Arabidopsis thaliana: one gene and its partner. The protein of the gene in region 1 interacts with the protein of each later gene in a pairwise test. Each region holds a gene or a part of one and is shown on either strand. Other genes may lie near its edges.

What was found. The genes of interacting proteins can lie anywhere in the genome.
Region 2: the proteins of TIFY10B (region 1) and AT4G00870 interact in a two-hybrid assay, tested with the Arabidopsis thaliana proteins (one study listed by BioGRID).

What each region holds. Positions count from the first base shown.
Region 1 is NC_003070.9:28,146,838-28,154,462, reverse strand, and holds TIFY10B (TIFY domain/Divergent CCT motif family protein), read left to right. Parts: upstream 1-4,016; 5' UTR 4,017-4,204; coding exon 4,205-4,352; intron 4,353-4,671; coding exon 4,672-4,849; intron 4,850-4,941; coding exon 4,942-5,219; intron 5,220-5,306; coding exon 5,307-5,364; coding exon of another isoform or gene 5,365-5,368; exon of another isoform or gene 5,369-5,456; coding exon 5,457-5,544; 3' UTR 5,545-5,888; downstream 5,889-7,625. Other genes in the region: FAB1 (fatty acid biosynthesis 1), read left to right, coding at 1-48, 139-234, 329-374, 465-544, 780-848, 986-1,070, 1,180-1,334, 1,410-1,490 and 2 more; AT1G74940 (cyclin-dependent kinase, putative (DUF581)), read right to left, coding at 7,398-7,557. UniProt on the Arabidopsis thaliana protein: Repressor of jasmonate responses. Jasmonoyl-isoleucine (JA-Ile) specifically promotes COI1-TIFY10B/JAZ2 interaction. Activated by MYC2, MYC3 and MYC4 transcription factors.
Region 2 is NC_003075.7:359,375-367,089, forward strand, and holds AT4G00870 (basic helix-loop-helix (bHLH) DNA-binding superfamily protein), read right to left. Parts: upstream 4,336-7,715; 5' UTR 4,266-4,335; coding exon 4,005-4,265; intron 3,867-4,004; coding exon 2,856-3,866; 3' UTR 2,559-2,855; downstream 1-2,558. Other genes in the region: ATOZI1 (monopolar spindle protein (DUF1138)), read right to left, coding at 174-319, 398-494; AT4G00872 (Plant invertase/pectin methylesterase inhibitor superfamily protein), read right to left, coding at 4,773-5,067, 5,142-5,362; AT4G00880 (SAUR-like auxin-responsive protein family), read right to left, coding at 7,318-7,686; AT4G00883 (uncharacterized protein), read left to right, coding at 7,342-7,701.

The DNA of each region.
Region 1 (7,625 bases):
CCTTTTGCGACAACAAACATGGGTTCTGCTATGCTTGCCATGGATCTGGTCTGATTAAATTTGAAATGCTCTTAATATATTATGGATGACCACCAGCAATTTAGTACTGACCCTTTTTATTTTGTGGTCATGTATCAGGGATGGATGGGGCCAAACTATTCTATTTCAACTGCTTGTGCCACAAGCAACTTTTGCATTCTGAATTCAGCAAACCACATTATTAAAGGTGAAGCTGTAAGTATCCTCCATACACTTGGAAATTCGACAGTTTGGTAGACTTCCTCTGTTTCTACTTATAGACTGTTTGTCTTTCCACTAAACTTTTCAGGATGTAATGCTCTGTGGTGGCTCAGATGCAGTTATTATTCCAATAGGTGCTAACTCGTTCTCTTATATTTTACATTGTCCCATCTATTCTTGAAATTTAAGCGACGTGAAATCGTATCGTATGTGTACCAATGCAGGGTTGGGAGGTTTTGTTGCATGCCGGGCTCTTTCACAAAGGAATAATGATCCCACAAAAGCTTCACGTCCTTGGGATACCGTAAGTTTAAACAATTTCGTGTCTTGTCTTCTATTCCTTTTGTTACTTGCATGTTTTAGTACCCTTCTATGGTTTTGTTTTAATCTTGGTGGATGCTAGAAACACTGTATCGAGTTTTTGCCAACAGGAATTTCCCTTACATTGTAATGTTGTAGGAAAGAAAGTGTGAGGAAACGTGCGTATTATGTTTGGAAATTCTTCTTGTTTTGTTAACCTGGTCTTGATTGCATGACAGAATCGAGATGGTTTCGTGATGGGAGAGGGAGCTGGAGTTCTACTTTTGGAAGAACTCGAGCATGCTAAGGTATATAACTTATTCGTTCTTTCTGTCATTTCTTGTTTCCCATTTTTAAATCACAAAAGAAACTTATATCCAAAGCTTTTTTTATTGCTTGCTATGGAACGAGTTGTGAGAACATAAGTATTCTGCTTTTCTTTCAGAAAAGAGGTGCAACTATCTACGCAGAGTTCCTCGGTGGGAGTTTCACATGTGATGCCTATCACATGACCGAGCCTCACCCTGATGGTAGTTTCATTTTCCCCTAATTTATATTAGTCTGCTAGTCAACTACAAATTTGAAATCTCTTTTTTCTATAATTTTTTTGTCATTATCCCATTTTTCTTAAATCCGCAGGGGCTGGTGTTATTCTCTGTATTGAGAGAGCGTTAGCTAGTGCTGGGATTTCCAAGGAACAAATAAATTACATAAATGCACATGCAACCTCAACGCATGCTGGAGATATTAAGGAATACCAAGCCCTTGCTCACTGTTTTGGCCAAAATCCTGAGGTAGCTTCAGTTCTTTGTTACAAAATTCCGAAGTGCCTTTTTATGTGCTTTTCTTGATCTTTCTCGATGTGGCAGCTTAAGGTAAATTCCACAAAATCTATGATTGGACACTTGCTGGGAGCTGCTGGGGCCGTGGAGGCTGTTGCAACTGTGCAGGTAACTCATTTGACTCGGTGTATCTACAAGGAAGGAAGTGTTGTTGAAACCAAGTTTTAGCATAGAGCGAAATTATGTGCAATCTTCGCATTTTTAATGTTAATATTCTGTTGCTATCTACAGGCGATACGGACCGGATGGGTTCATCCAAATATCAACCTCGAGAATCCAGACAGTGGAGTGGTATGTTAGTTTCATATGAGTTCAATACCTATACAAAGACCTTTTAATGTTCGTAAAAAAAAACTCTTGGGAGTTTTAATAATCGTACTGTGAAATGAAATTGGAGCAGGATACAAAGCTGCTGGTGGGTCCTAAGAAGGAGAGACTGGACATTAAAGCAGCCTTGTCAAATTCATTCGGGTTTGGTGGTCATAACTCCAGCATCATTTTTGCTCCTTACAAGTGAAAGCGAAAGCAGTTGCTTGTACTCCAAACCTGATTGTATAACTTGCTGTAAGGTAAAAAGTTACATCCATTGTACATTTGTGTATCATCAGATTCTTAGAGGAATTGAAGGACAGTTAACTCTTTTGACCTTTCTATATTTATTACTTTGGCTGAGATGGATCATTGGCAATAATGAATTGGAAGTTTGTGCAAGTTCCCTTTGAAGTATTGTCGGTCCAGAAATGCTCTAAAATGATTTGGGATGGACTAAGAATTTGTTATGAAGCTGAGTGTTTAAATTATGTGCAGTGTTTTACAAGAAGTTTCCCATGTTATGCTAGTGTTACGTCGAGGGAATCAACAGAGTTTGTTCAACTACCAAGAGCTAAGCTAAGTTTCTTAGGATCAAGATCTGATGAGCCAAAGACTTGGACAGGAGCTAAAACGTGCTAGAGATATCAGAGTTTGGATTCGCCATTAAAATTCTGTTTCTTGTGATACCTTCTTATTGGAAATCTTTGTAGTCTTTACATTTCTATTGTTTAACATGAAATCTCAAAAAATGCCAAATCAATTCTCAATTTTAAATTTAGTAGCTCTTGACAGTTTTCCCTTTGTTAATTACATATATAGAGAGTAACTAAATCATCTTTTGAAAGGTAAAAACTAAAAAAATATATTCCAAGGGCCCAATGTTTTACCACTTTCATATGTAAGCTTATTTTCTGTTAAATATGTGAAAGAAAGAAGAGGAATGAATCAGCTGTGAAAACCAAGAGCAAGTATAAAAACATGGCTAAAAGGGTATCAATCAGCCTTGTATAAGAGAGCCATAAGTAGATAAAGTTTCTACAGTAAAAACAGGAATATAGAGTACTATTCCTTAATTAGCTTATGTTCTTCTATTCTTCTTGTGACCTCTATCTTGCATTTTTGTGACCACCCCACTTGCCTTCTTCTTTTTGGTTGCATACTCTAAATAATATCCAGACTTTGATGTCTTTATGCGCTCTGGGTTCTTCTTGTGACCCCTCTTCCTTGTAATTGTATGTACCTGCAGCTTCTTCTGATTTTGTTTCTTATGGATATGTTTGTGATGTATAAAATTTTGTGAAGATGTTTATAAAACAGTTAAAAACCAAATTAACCAATCATCCTTATTTTCTCACGAGCCACTCTATGAACCTTACGTTATCTCGATGTACCTGTAATGAGTTAGCAATTACTACAATCCAAGTCAATAAAATAACAAGTTGGACGTTACGTTATAAAAGAAAATCAAACTTATTTGTGTGTTCCTAACAAACGCATGGGATAATAACAAGAGAATAAAAGACAGAGTGATAGGATCAACGGCTATTGTGCGTAGGAGAACACAGCTGCTATATAAGCCGCGTAACAGGTGATTACTCTGACTACGACACCAACAAGAAAAATTCTCTCAAATGTGGGCAGTTAAGTTAGACACGTGTAAGGTCGCGATTCATGGAGGAGACGTGCTCTTCCCGCTTTTTGTAATTATTTATTACTGTTGTCATAAATAAAACACTAAAAAAAAATTAATAAAAGGGAAAATACAAAACGTGATTTATGGATCAAATTTGCATTGGTGGTGGAGTTTTGGTTATGTAAGACCCACACCGTGTTCCCTCTATCTAACGCCGTTAATCCTCTTTTTTCCCCCAAATCATACCGTTAATTCTCTTTGAGTGCTAAAATATCACGCCGGTCTATGAGATTAAAATAGTAGACTAATTAATAGTGCTAAAAATACATAAATTAATGCCAAGAGATTCATCTTAAAAAAAAGGATATATGAACCAACTAAATGGTATAACTGAAAGACTATCATAATCAAATTTCATCTGAACATTGATTTGTTTGAACTAATTAATTTTAGGATTTTACGTTTTCATAATTTTTTATTTTATTTGAACATCTTGTAAGGGTAAAATGGTAAAAACAGGAGTAGTAAGAGGGTGAAATGGTTATTTCAAGTGTGAAGCGTGGGGACGTGGGTGACGGTGGTGATCTGAAACAGTGGTCTGCCGTTAAAACATTAAATTAAAACACGTGTTTTAAATGTCTCTATGTTAATTAATACTATAAGAGTATATTTTACTAATTTCCGTATCTGCAACCAGCGAAAAAAAAGTAATAAAGAGGTCCTCCATTTCTTCCTCGTGACAAAACGCACTTGGCAGAGAAAGATAAACAAGAACCCTAAGTTTTTTTATAAGATTCGAGAAAATTCAACAACTCAGGAAGGAAGATCCTTTTGCTCCAATTTCTCAATCGAAACGATTTCAATTTCGGTTTCAACGATGTCGAGTTTTTCTGCCGAGTGTTGGGACTTCTCTGGTCGTAAACCGAGCTTTTCACAAACATGTACTCGATTGAGTCGTTACCTGAAGGAGAAGGGTAGTTTTGGAGATCTGAGCTTAGGGATGACATGCAAGCCCGACGTTAATGGTAATCAACCTTTCTCTTTTAGATCTGTTCATTTCGTTTCTGCGAATTTTGAGTTTCCTGTTGCGAATTACGAATTATGAATCGATTACATGTTGTCTGGAAATTGAATCGTTGTAGAGAATCGATGATTAATGGATTTTGAATCAATTTCTATATATGTATGTATGTGTATGAATTTGTGGAGATGGTTCTGTGTTTGGTTTAAGCATAATCCTCTAAAGCCATAGGCCTGGTTTAGTCATTAAGTAGATTTTGTTTTGCAGTTGTTTGAGAGATTGGTGAATGATAATAATCTTTACTTTTGGATCAATTTTCGCAGGAGGTTCACGTCAGCCTACAATGATGAATCTGTTCCCTTGTGAAGCTTCAGGAATGGATTCTTCTGCTGGTCAAGAAGACATTAAACCGAAGACTATGTTTCCGAGACAATCAAGCTTTTCTTCTTCCTCTTCCTCTGGGACCAAAGAAGATGTACAGATGATCAAAGAGACTACTAAGTATGTGTTTATATGTATATAGTGAAAAGAATCGTCTCATATAGTAAGCTATGTTTCATCAGTTTAACTAATTTTTGTGTGATTTTGAACAGATCTGTGAAGCCAGAGTCTCAATCTGCTCCGTTGACTATATTCTACGGTGGTCGAGTTATGGTGTTTGATGATTTTTCTGCTGAGAAAGCTAAAGAAGTCATTGATTTGGCTAACAAAGGAAGTGCCAAAAGCTTCACATGTTTCACAGCTGAAGTAAACAATAACCATAGTGCTTATTCTCAAAAAGAGATTGCTTCTAGCCCAAATCCTGTTTGTAGTCCTGCAAAAACCGCAGCACAAGAGCCAATTCAGCCTAACCCGGCCTCTTTAGCCTGCGGTAATTGATCTCAGCCTCTTTTGGTTCAACCATCTCTGAGCTTGGCTTAGTCCTATTTCTCTAACTTTCTCTCTTTTTGATTTGTAGAACTCCCGATTGCAAGAAGAGCTTCACTTCATCGGTTCCTTGAGAAGAGGAAGGATAGGTAATGCATTTTAATGAAAACATAATATCTTGTTATTCCATAAGTTCTTGTTAAGCGAATTTCTCAATATCCTACTCGTAAACCTTTAACAGGATCACATCAAAGGCACCATACCAAATAGACGGTTCAGCTGAAGCGTCTTCCAAGCCTACTAACCCAGCTTGGCTCAGTTCACGGTAAACTTCGAGCCTGTCCGACCCAGAAGGCACAACTTGAGAGACCTTCTTGTAAGATTCTTCTGATGCTCCATCGTTACAAATATCAAGCTGCTCCTCTGTTCATTTTTTCTATAGATTAATTTCACCCCTAGTAGTTTTGTTTGTTTAACTCCCCCGAAAACTCATTATATTTGTATGAAATCAATATCAATAGTGTTCAATGTTTGCTTCTGGGGTTTAAGTTTTAGCCAGTGTGTATAACCCTTTCCTCTGCCGATCTCAACATTAGCTTGCAACTTTTGTAAGAAACATCACTTGTGTTTTTGTGTTGATGGCCATTAATATAATCCAAGTTTATTTAATCCGATTGTTTGTTCGTCACTTATTGAGAGCTGAAGCTTACAGTTAAGGAACAGAAATACTTAAAGCATTCTCGAAAATAAAGAAATGTCTAAAAAATGATGATTTTCTATCAAGTATTGTCGTGTGAAAGATTTTCTTTAACAAGTCTGCTATTGTTCAAAATACGTTTTAACCTATCTATCCATTATAGTATTAGCATTTTCGTTTTGTTGTTAAATACATGGCACAAACTATGTAGACTATTTTTGGTTAAAATACCAAGCCAGTTACAATTTTGTTTTTCCCAAAATACTAGTTATAACTTTGTAAAATATCCGAAGTCCATAATAAAAAGAGCTTCATAAATATCCAATAAGTGGAGTAGATCAGACCAGGCTTGGTAGGCCACGGGAATTCTGACCCACGATAACTTTTTTTCGTTCGGTCTTGAACAATGATTTGTTCGGTCTTGAACAATGATCATCCAACTAACAAAACGTAAATTTGGTCCAAAGACTGGTCCGAAATTCGTTATGATTAATAAGCCCGAAGAACCTAAGATCCAATTTTATCCGATTTGGAAAAAAATAACTGAATTTTTCAGCATTAACAAATCGCCAAGACTACGTAATTTGGATCGGACAGAATCGGCCCCGGACTTCATCTAATCAAAGTTGTTCAAAATGGTAGGGACTAAAGTTTTTACCAAAATATCATTGTTTTTTTAGTTGGGGAAAAGGATCTTTTATTAATTTCTGACAACGGGCCAGGATACAACAAGTTGCATATTTAAGGGCCCACGTGCATACATTGCACTAAGAATCATAATGATTTAAAACTCATAATTGTGTTTCTTCAAGTCTTAAATTTATTAAAACGTTATTTTGGTTTCTTCATTAAAATGATAGTACGCGTTCTCTATTATTTTTTGAAAGATAATTTAAGTTGTTTGTAATTAAGAAACTGAACTCGAGTAATAGCAAATTAGCAACACATTACATTTTTGAACGTAATTTTAATTTTATACCTCTATAAATATTTTGATTGGTAACGTTTTCTTTAAAATAAAACAGAAGTAAACCCACAGGACTTTGTATTTTTGATCAAAAAGTGTAAACATATTCAAACAAGTCTTCTAGCCACAAAGTTTTAGACTTGTGGAAAAAACAAAAAAAGACATGTGTATTGCACAATCTTACATTTTCAATTGATTGATTCAATGTTTTGGATACAGGGAATTGAGAAATTGGCATATATACATACATACTTGTTCTACAAAGCTATTTCACGAAATGATTATTGATTTATGTGATTCCGAGGAAAAGCCATAAACATTACTCGGTATTAAAAGTTAACAAAAAGCAAACTTCTATACAATGTGCTTTTTAACCTAACCAAAAATTTCACTTTTTTTTTTTTTGTTATTTTCTAACCTTTTTTCTTCTATTAAGGTAAAATGGAATGATGATCACTTTTTTTTTTATATATAAATAAAATATACTTCTCTTCGTATTATTGTGAATTGTGATCATCCTAAAATACGAATACTCCGGCAGATAATCTCTGTCCGGCGGCGTAAGGAGAGCTCAAAACGTCGGCGTTTCTTGAAACTTGCGTTTTACATTGCTCTTGTCGTTCGTCATTCATTATTTGCACTGATCTGCATTCGGCACTACAAAATCCCATCTCTCCTCTGCACACAACCCAAAAAAAAAAGGATCAGTTTCTAGAAAAAATACCAATAAAATATTGAATTAGTCT
Region 2 (7,715 bases), on another chromosome or scaffold:
AAAAGTTATGCATCGGGGAAAAGCTTGATCCGAATAATGTGTTACGCATCAACACAAATTATTACTATAACCAGCTAGAGCAATCAGCCGATCCTCAAATCAAACACAAAAGAGCAGATATTCGAAAATGAATCCATAACGAATGAGAACGATGCACGAGAAGGCATCAAAAGTTATTCAGGACGTGACTTGACGATGAAATTCTGGCGACTGATAGGGTTCATGACGACGGGAGGACCAGCAACTCTTGGCCATGCTTGTAATCTCTCTTCAGTCGCAGCACCCCATTCCTTGTTAGTAATAGTTCCTGGTGTAGTACCTGAGAGTTCAAAACAAACCAAACCAAATTTAGCTTTCTGGATACATCATAAGTAGCTTTATAAGGTTTAAAACTTGCCTCCAAAAAGCTTATCATCAGAAATAACTTTGTCACACACGTAAGCTACTACCGCAGATCCCGCAAGGGCACCGATAATGTATGTAGCTCTCGACATCCTTAACCTGAAGTACATAGATATATCAAACATAATCAAGCCACACAAAAGGAGAAAACGAACTTATATCAGATTATAGCTATAGTGTATAGTGGGATTGAAATGAAGTTTCAAGGCATATTCAACCCTAATCAAGCCAATACAATCACATAAAACCATTAGATAATTAAGCTGCTGAATCAAACAATTCAATTCAATTATAGAAGACACAAATCAATAAAAGCATCTGAATGGTGAATTTTTTCACACAATCGATAAAAAAACCGATCTAAGAAACTCACTGCTACCAACAAATCTCGTTTTATTCTTCCTAATCGCGCTAAATAACATATCATCTGCTAGTTTCGAGTTTTGTTTCAGATAACGATTCATAGATCTCGTGAGGACCCAAAAATCGAAACAAAAGGTGAATAAACTACACAGACGACTAACAACAACAACAAATTTATCAAATAGATCTGATAGAATCGGTATTTCACAAAACAAGCATCGATTCGAGAAGAGTGATTTACCTGAATCGATTTCACAGACACGGAGAGGCGCAGGAAATTTTCGAGAAGAATCTCGTTGGTAGATTTTTAGGGAGGAATAGAAGAAATAGCGATTTACGTTTCTCGTCAAACTTGAAATGACCCAAAAGGGGTTTCCGATTGTGGTGTACAAATATTGGGCCATTATGGGCCCATTTCGTTTATGAGATTTTACTCCTAATTGGGCCACACTTGACTATTGGCCCATCTTAATACAAATCATTTCTTTGGGTTAATGAAGATAAAACTTTTTATGAGATTTTATACCAGATTGGGCCATACATGACTATTGGCCAAGCTAAAACAAATCATTTCTTTTGGGGTTAATGAAGATAAATCTTTTTAAACGGATTAAATTTTCTTAAAACAAAGCTTAGAATATATACAGTCAAAAATCTATAAATTAATATTCAATAAATTAATATCTCATTAAATTAATAATTTTCTTCCGTTCTCAAATTGATATTTTAGCCCAAATATTGTCTCTATAAATTAATAAACATGATAATTTATAGAGGTTTTACTGATTAAATTACAATTGCTATTTCAATTTGTAAAAATATTAAGAGTTCCTTTTGAATGACTTTGCTCAAAACGAGGTTTTAGAAAGTGCTAAAGCCTAAAGCTTCAAATGCACATAACACCAATATTTATTCTGCACGCATAAGATTTCTAAAATGATTTCAGTTGTTTTTCTTATTGCGTTTTAAAAACTTACAGTCTATTTATAAAGTGAAACATCTATAAAGAAGAAGAAGACAAACACGTATTTATTGTTAATATTTTTTTTTGTTGTTGAGTACCATATTAACCTAGAAGTTGGAACCGGGCATAATTTTTGCATGTGGCCATTTTTCATGTGATTTACCTATCAGTAAATTTTTGCATAACCGTTACATCGTTGCAGCAGGATTGAAGAAGGGATCATGTGAAAGATAACTGTTTCTGACTTTCTGTCAAAGAAACTTAATCTTAAGGTCGAAACTATATTGTATCATAGGTTATGTATACATAGACACATGATAGTTTGTTGCATAACATATTTTAATTTCTTTTAGAAAAACATAAAACCATGATCATCAAATAAAACAAAACATTTTTGTCTCATTAAGTAAATGCAAAATTGTTTAGTTCTGTTTTATATGTGAATGTTAGATACAGAATGATTACTTTTTCAAGCACAAAAACATTTTTTGCAATTAGTAATTAGCAAACAAAATAAGAAAGATACAATTCAATTGCATTATTGTACCCTTTTCTTCTCTTTGCATTATTGTACCACTTTTTTTTCTCAACATTATTGTACCCTTTATTTTTCTGTGCATTGTACTAATATTTTTTCCCCAAATTAACCAATCAGTGTCTTAATATAACAGTACGTCCAAGAATAATTAATATAAAGCATTGGTAGTTCATTACGTAATTGACTTGATTTGTTAGCAAGCTATCACTGAAGAGTGGTCCTAAATATTATAGGACAAGCGTGTGTGTGTCTATAATTCCTCCGTCTTCTCTATGGTTTTCAAACTAATATTTCCAAATGATCAATTAATGAGTTGTTTCTTTTAAAATATACAGTCTCTATATTGTTTTAGTAAGACAATATACCAAACACTTTGCGCTTTTAGCGAGCTAGTACGTACGTACGAGAAATAAAGTAAAAAAGTAACACATAAACTACGTATCAACGAGATCAAACTTTTGATAAAACAACATTAATCGCTAGAAGGAATTTGATTTTTCTAGTACTTATCAAATAAAACAAAAGGTCGCAAAAAAAAACAAAAATTATTATCACATCCTATGTTGACGTCACAAAACAAAGAAATTGTTATAGGCTTAGGGTTCGGACAAGTGTGGTCCTAAGCCTATCTTCCGATCTTAATCCTTCTGGAACCAAAACAACAACATCTTGAACCATAACCTGACTCAAGCGCGACGCGTTCGCGTGTTGTACACGACAATCCATTTCCATTAACGCACTCATCAATGCCGACGTAGGATGGTTCACATTCTCTGTCTGAACCCTAATTATGGCTTCTTCTCCGACGATCTTCACTTGCACTTCCAAGTCAGAGCCTCTGTTTGATTTTGAAGGTTTCTGGTTAACTTGGTACTCAACGGAAGACGGAGACGTATTGCTGCTGCTGTTGTCTAATTTATCTGTCTCCGTCATCTTCATTTTCTTGATCTCAGTTTCGAGATCATCGATTTTGGATTTAAGACTTTCTATGTACGAAACTGCGTCGGATAAAAGTGACGCTTTGTCCATTCGTGACACTTTTGGTACGATGGCACGTAGAGCGTAAAACCGGTGGTTTAGCTTCTCTCTCCGTTGCTTCTCCGCTTCCACGTGGGACAAAACCGCCGGATGATGTTTCTCTTTCGTCGCCGCAGCTACCCTTGTCGTCTCAAGTTTCCTCCTCCGTTTTCTTTCCGACCCGAATTGCTGATTTCCGCTTTTCGAATGATCTGATACCGCCGGTTTAGGGTAAGAACCGGTTTGGTTAGTGTGTTTTGTTGTTTTACCCGACCCGAATATGGACTTGACTCGGTTTATAAAGTTCCGGTTTTGTATAATTGATTCAGACGAACCAAGTTCGATAATGCCATTGTTGATGGGTATGGAGACCAATGTGTGTACCCCGTGAAAACCGGCTTCTTTAGCCCTCTCGTAGTTGCTAAACCGGAGCTCGTCGGGACCGGTTAACCAAACCAAAGATTCATCGGATACTTCCTTTCTCGGCGATCTATCTTCACCGTAAAACGATGCGGCATAGAACAACTCCAGATCATCTCCACCGTCCATCATCAGCTCACACTCGATGCTGTTTGTTGTATACTTAAGAAAGAAACAAAAACAAAAAATCAAGGGTAAGGAAAATTATATTATTTTCTTAATAGAACTTTTTTAAGAAGTTGATTTAAATAAATTTTGGATATTTTGATTAGATAACATAAGAGGCAAAGAAAAATGAACATTTTCTTGGGAATTGTTGTTCTTGTTTCCACAGAAATGACCATCAACCCAAACCAAGTAAGACCGGTCCGATTGATCATCAAACATCTTTTGCCAAAAAATGACATAAGCCCATCGGTCCGGTGAGGTTTCCACGACAAACCGGAGTTTTTGTTGAAGTACTAAATCCGGAGGAGAAGAGGACACTATGGCTGCAGGAGTTTGTTGTGTAAAAGAGAGCAAAGAAGAGGACAATGATGGAGAGAAAGTGAGATTATACATTTCTTTCCAGTGATCCCGACCAAAGAGAATTTAGAGGGTTAGAGAAGACAAGTGGAAAAGGATGAATAAGATTCTAAATTAATAGAGAAGACGATATTATAGTAGTAATATCAAATTTTCATTAATGATTTTCGTGAATTAAAGTTTATGATAAATATTCCAATAGTAGTAAGTTAGTCACGTGAAAACTGAACTGTTTTCCTACTTTAACGTTATAAGAACAACAATTTATCGTATAGTGGTCCAACTTTGATGAAATAGACAATATATCATTCTTTGCCAAAAAAAAAAAAAAAAAAAAGACAATATATCATTTAGATTTATATTGAATGATGGTTCAAACGAAAACTTATTTTGACAAATTTGAAAAGAAAAAAAAAACATGAGAGCTACAACAAATGGATATATGTGACTTTATAAATTTCATAAAGGAAATGATTTATTCAAATTGGGGTAAGCATTGATCGAAGTTGAGTTATATAGAAAACAATAAGGAGTTATTACTTATTAGAAGCGATCAATGATCCTCATAGCAGCGTCAGAGAGTTGAGCATAGATATTGATTTGACTAAATAGTTGGGGAGACGTGAACTTGACACGTTTGAGATTGAACATACATCTCAGAGGAAAGCCAAGCGCAAGCTTTATCGATTTGTTGGTTTTATCATAATCACCGGTTTTCAAACTTGTTTTGGCTTCCGACAGTATTGTAGATGCATTCGTCGACAAGTCTTTTTTGCAAATCTCCAGAGCTGTTTTCACTTCACCTTTATCTTTCTTTGACGATAAATTCGTTATGTTACTACACAAATGAAAAAATTGATATATTAGAGGATATTTCTGTATATTGGTTATAATTTGTAAGTGAAAACTTGCTTGGTGATGATATGGAGGTGGGATTCAAGACAGTTTATGACGATGCCAGCTATGCCTATATGGTCGGCGTGAATGGAGTTTGGGTCGGATTCAAGACATTGCATGCATATGGCTGGGACGTCTGCATTGTGGCATTCATTTATCATCATGTCCTTCTCGGCGCATATCGACATAGGAGAGATCACCAGTATTAACAGCAGAAACTTGATCATCGTTTTCATGCTAAGTATGATTGATTATAGACTATATTTCTTTTTAAGGGGTGTGAATTACTTATATAAACTAAGAATATGGTTGGTCATGACTCATGAGTGATCTCTTTTACATTACACGTGTTTAACGTCTTTAATTTTACCTTTAAAACTGACCATTGAAATGCAAATTGATGTCTTATTTTACTTCATTTGGGTAGAAAAGCAGATTATAGTTCTCTTTTTGAATTATAATTTATACATTTTCTTACTCCATTCAATAATATTATGATCTATTACCCTTTAGTTTATGTTTTAAGTTTTTTTAATACATTTATGGATATTATTAGACATATAAACAATATAATAATTAAGATGTTTTGGCTTAGAACCTCCTAGTATTAAAAAAAAAAGTAGGGTAATTAATGATGTTTTTTCTTAAAACAATAACTAAAAGTAAGTAAAAGTTTTTTTTTTGTTAATTTTAAATTTTACTAATTGTAAGTAGGTAATAATAAAATTTAAATAAATTAGTGTAATTGTTTTTTTTTATATATACTTAGCTGAATACTTCCGTAAACATGTTTATAATACAAAAGCCCAATTTTGGCCCATAAACTTATAAAACATGGGTTTTTTTTTGTCGTTATAAAACATGGTTTTAGTTCACGAAGAATAATATATTCCTACCGCATCTAATCTATTAAACAAAATCACGTTATTGTATTTGGTAGTGAGTGTTGTTATTCTGGCCATACAAATGGTCAAAAGCCTCTCGTCCATTTCTTTCCATTTTCAAGATTCTTCAATCCATCATTATTTTGCTTTACTTATAAAGAATCGTACGAAAAATTATAATCGAAATAAAGTTTCGAATATACGTACTTCAAACAAAATTAAGAGGAGAAGACCACTGCACAATTGCATATTTATGGTAGATTTTGCTTCACTTTTTTTTGCAAGTGTATGATTAAAGTTTTTCTAACATATCATGAGGTTGTTATTTTTGTGACCGTAAAGATTTAATGAACAACAATTGCGTAGACAACAATGTTGATCAGATGAATTTATAGATTTAGCGAATAAATTTCTTAACTTAATCATTCATTTACAGGAACTTCGTTTTCACATATCTTTATGAACGGAAACGTAACATAGAAGTTATATTGATGAATGGTGGTATATATGTGAAATAACCACTAAATTACTTTCTTCTCCAAATGATTAACCTGTTGTAGAATAGTTTGGCAAAGCCGATAGAATCAGTCCATTGGCCTCCAGTGAAAGGCTTCCACTTTTGAAGTTTTTATAAATTTTCATTGCCAAATTTCATCTTTTGTAACTCACTTTGGAGGAACTTCAAAATCTTGTATCACTTTATCTTTTTCTCTAACATTGTTTGCTTCATAGCATACGTTGAGTCGACAAACTGATTGTTTTTCCTTCCATGTTTTAATCCTTTTTTTTTGCCATAAGACCAAGTCTATAAGTCTAAAATATATAACTGTAAACCTAAACATTTTTATTCTTATGAATATTTACATTTTAGCAACAAAAAACCTGAACTAAAGTGATTTTTAAAATAAAAATGATTTTTAAAATAAAAATGGAAAAATGTAAAATTACTTTCTTCTCCAAATCATTAATAAAATTATAAAATTTCAATTGACAAGTCAACTCATAGAAGAGATTGAGTATAGTAAATAACTAAATATTAATTGTTCAACATACATATTATTTTAATATTATTACAAGATGATGATTTTCTATTTTTATGATCGGGCATAAGCGTACAATTAATCATCATGAGACATATATATATATATATATATATATATGAACAACAACAACAACAACAACAACAACAACAACAACAACAACAACAACAAGCCACACCTTAAGATAAGATGAAATGAAGACCGAGATTTATTTATAATCAGCAGCATGAGATAATATCTAGTTTAAAAAGAGCCAAAACAATATCATCAAACCCTAAAACACCGGATGAGATGGTTGTGATGATGATGGTGATGATCAAGGAGATTAGTACCGAGAAATCTAGTGTTTTCTCGATCGATCAATCCTTGAACATACCTAAACTCCTCAACGTGACAAGGGATCGTGATTGTCCCTTTTTGAGCAAAACCAAACTCTTCTTCAGCTTCCTTCAAGAGTTGTCCAAACAAAGGATGATTAAAGTACATAACGGGAATCACAAATCTCTCTTGCTCTTCTCCTTGTCCTACCTTCACTGCCAAACACCCTTTTGGTACCTTTTCATGATCATGCTCATGATGATGGAGACGTGGGATGTGGAAGCTCCAGTGGCTCATGACTTTGTCTCCGTTACCCATGGGCCGATAATATTAGTATAGATAATATA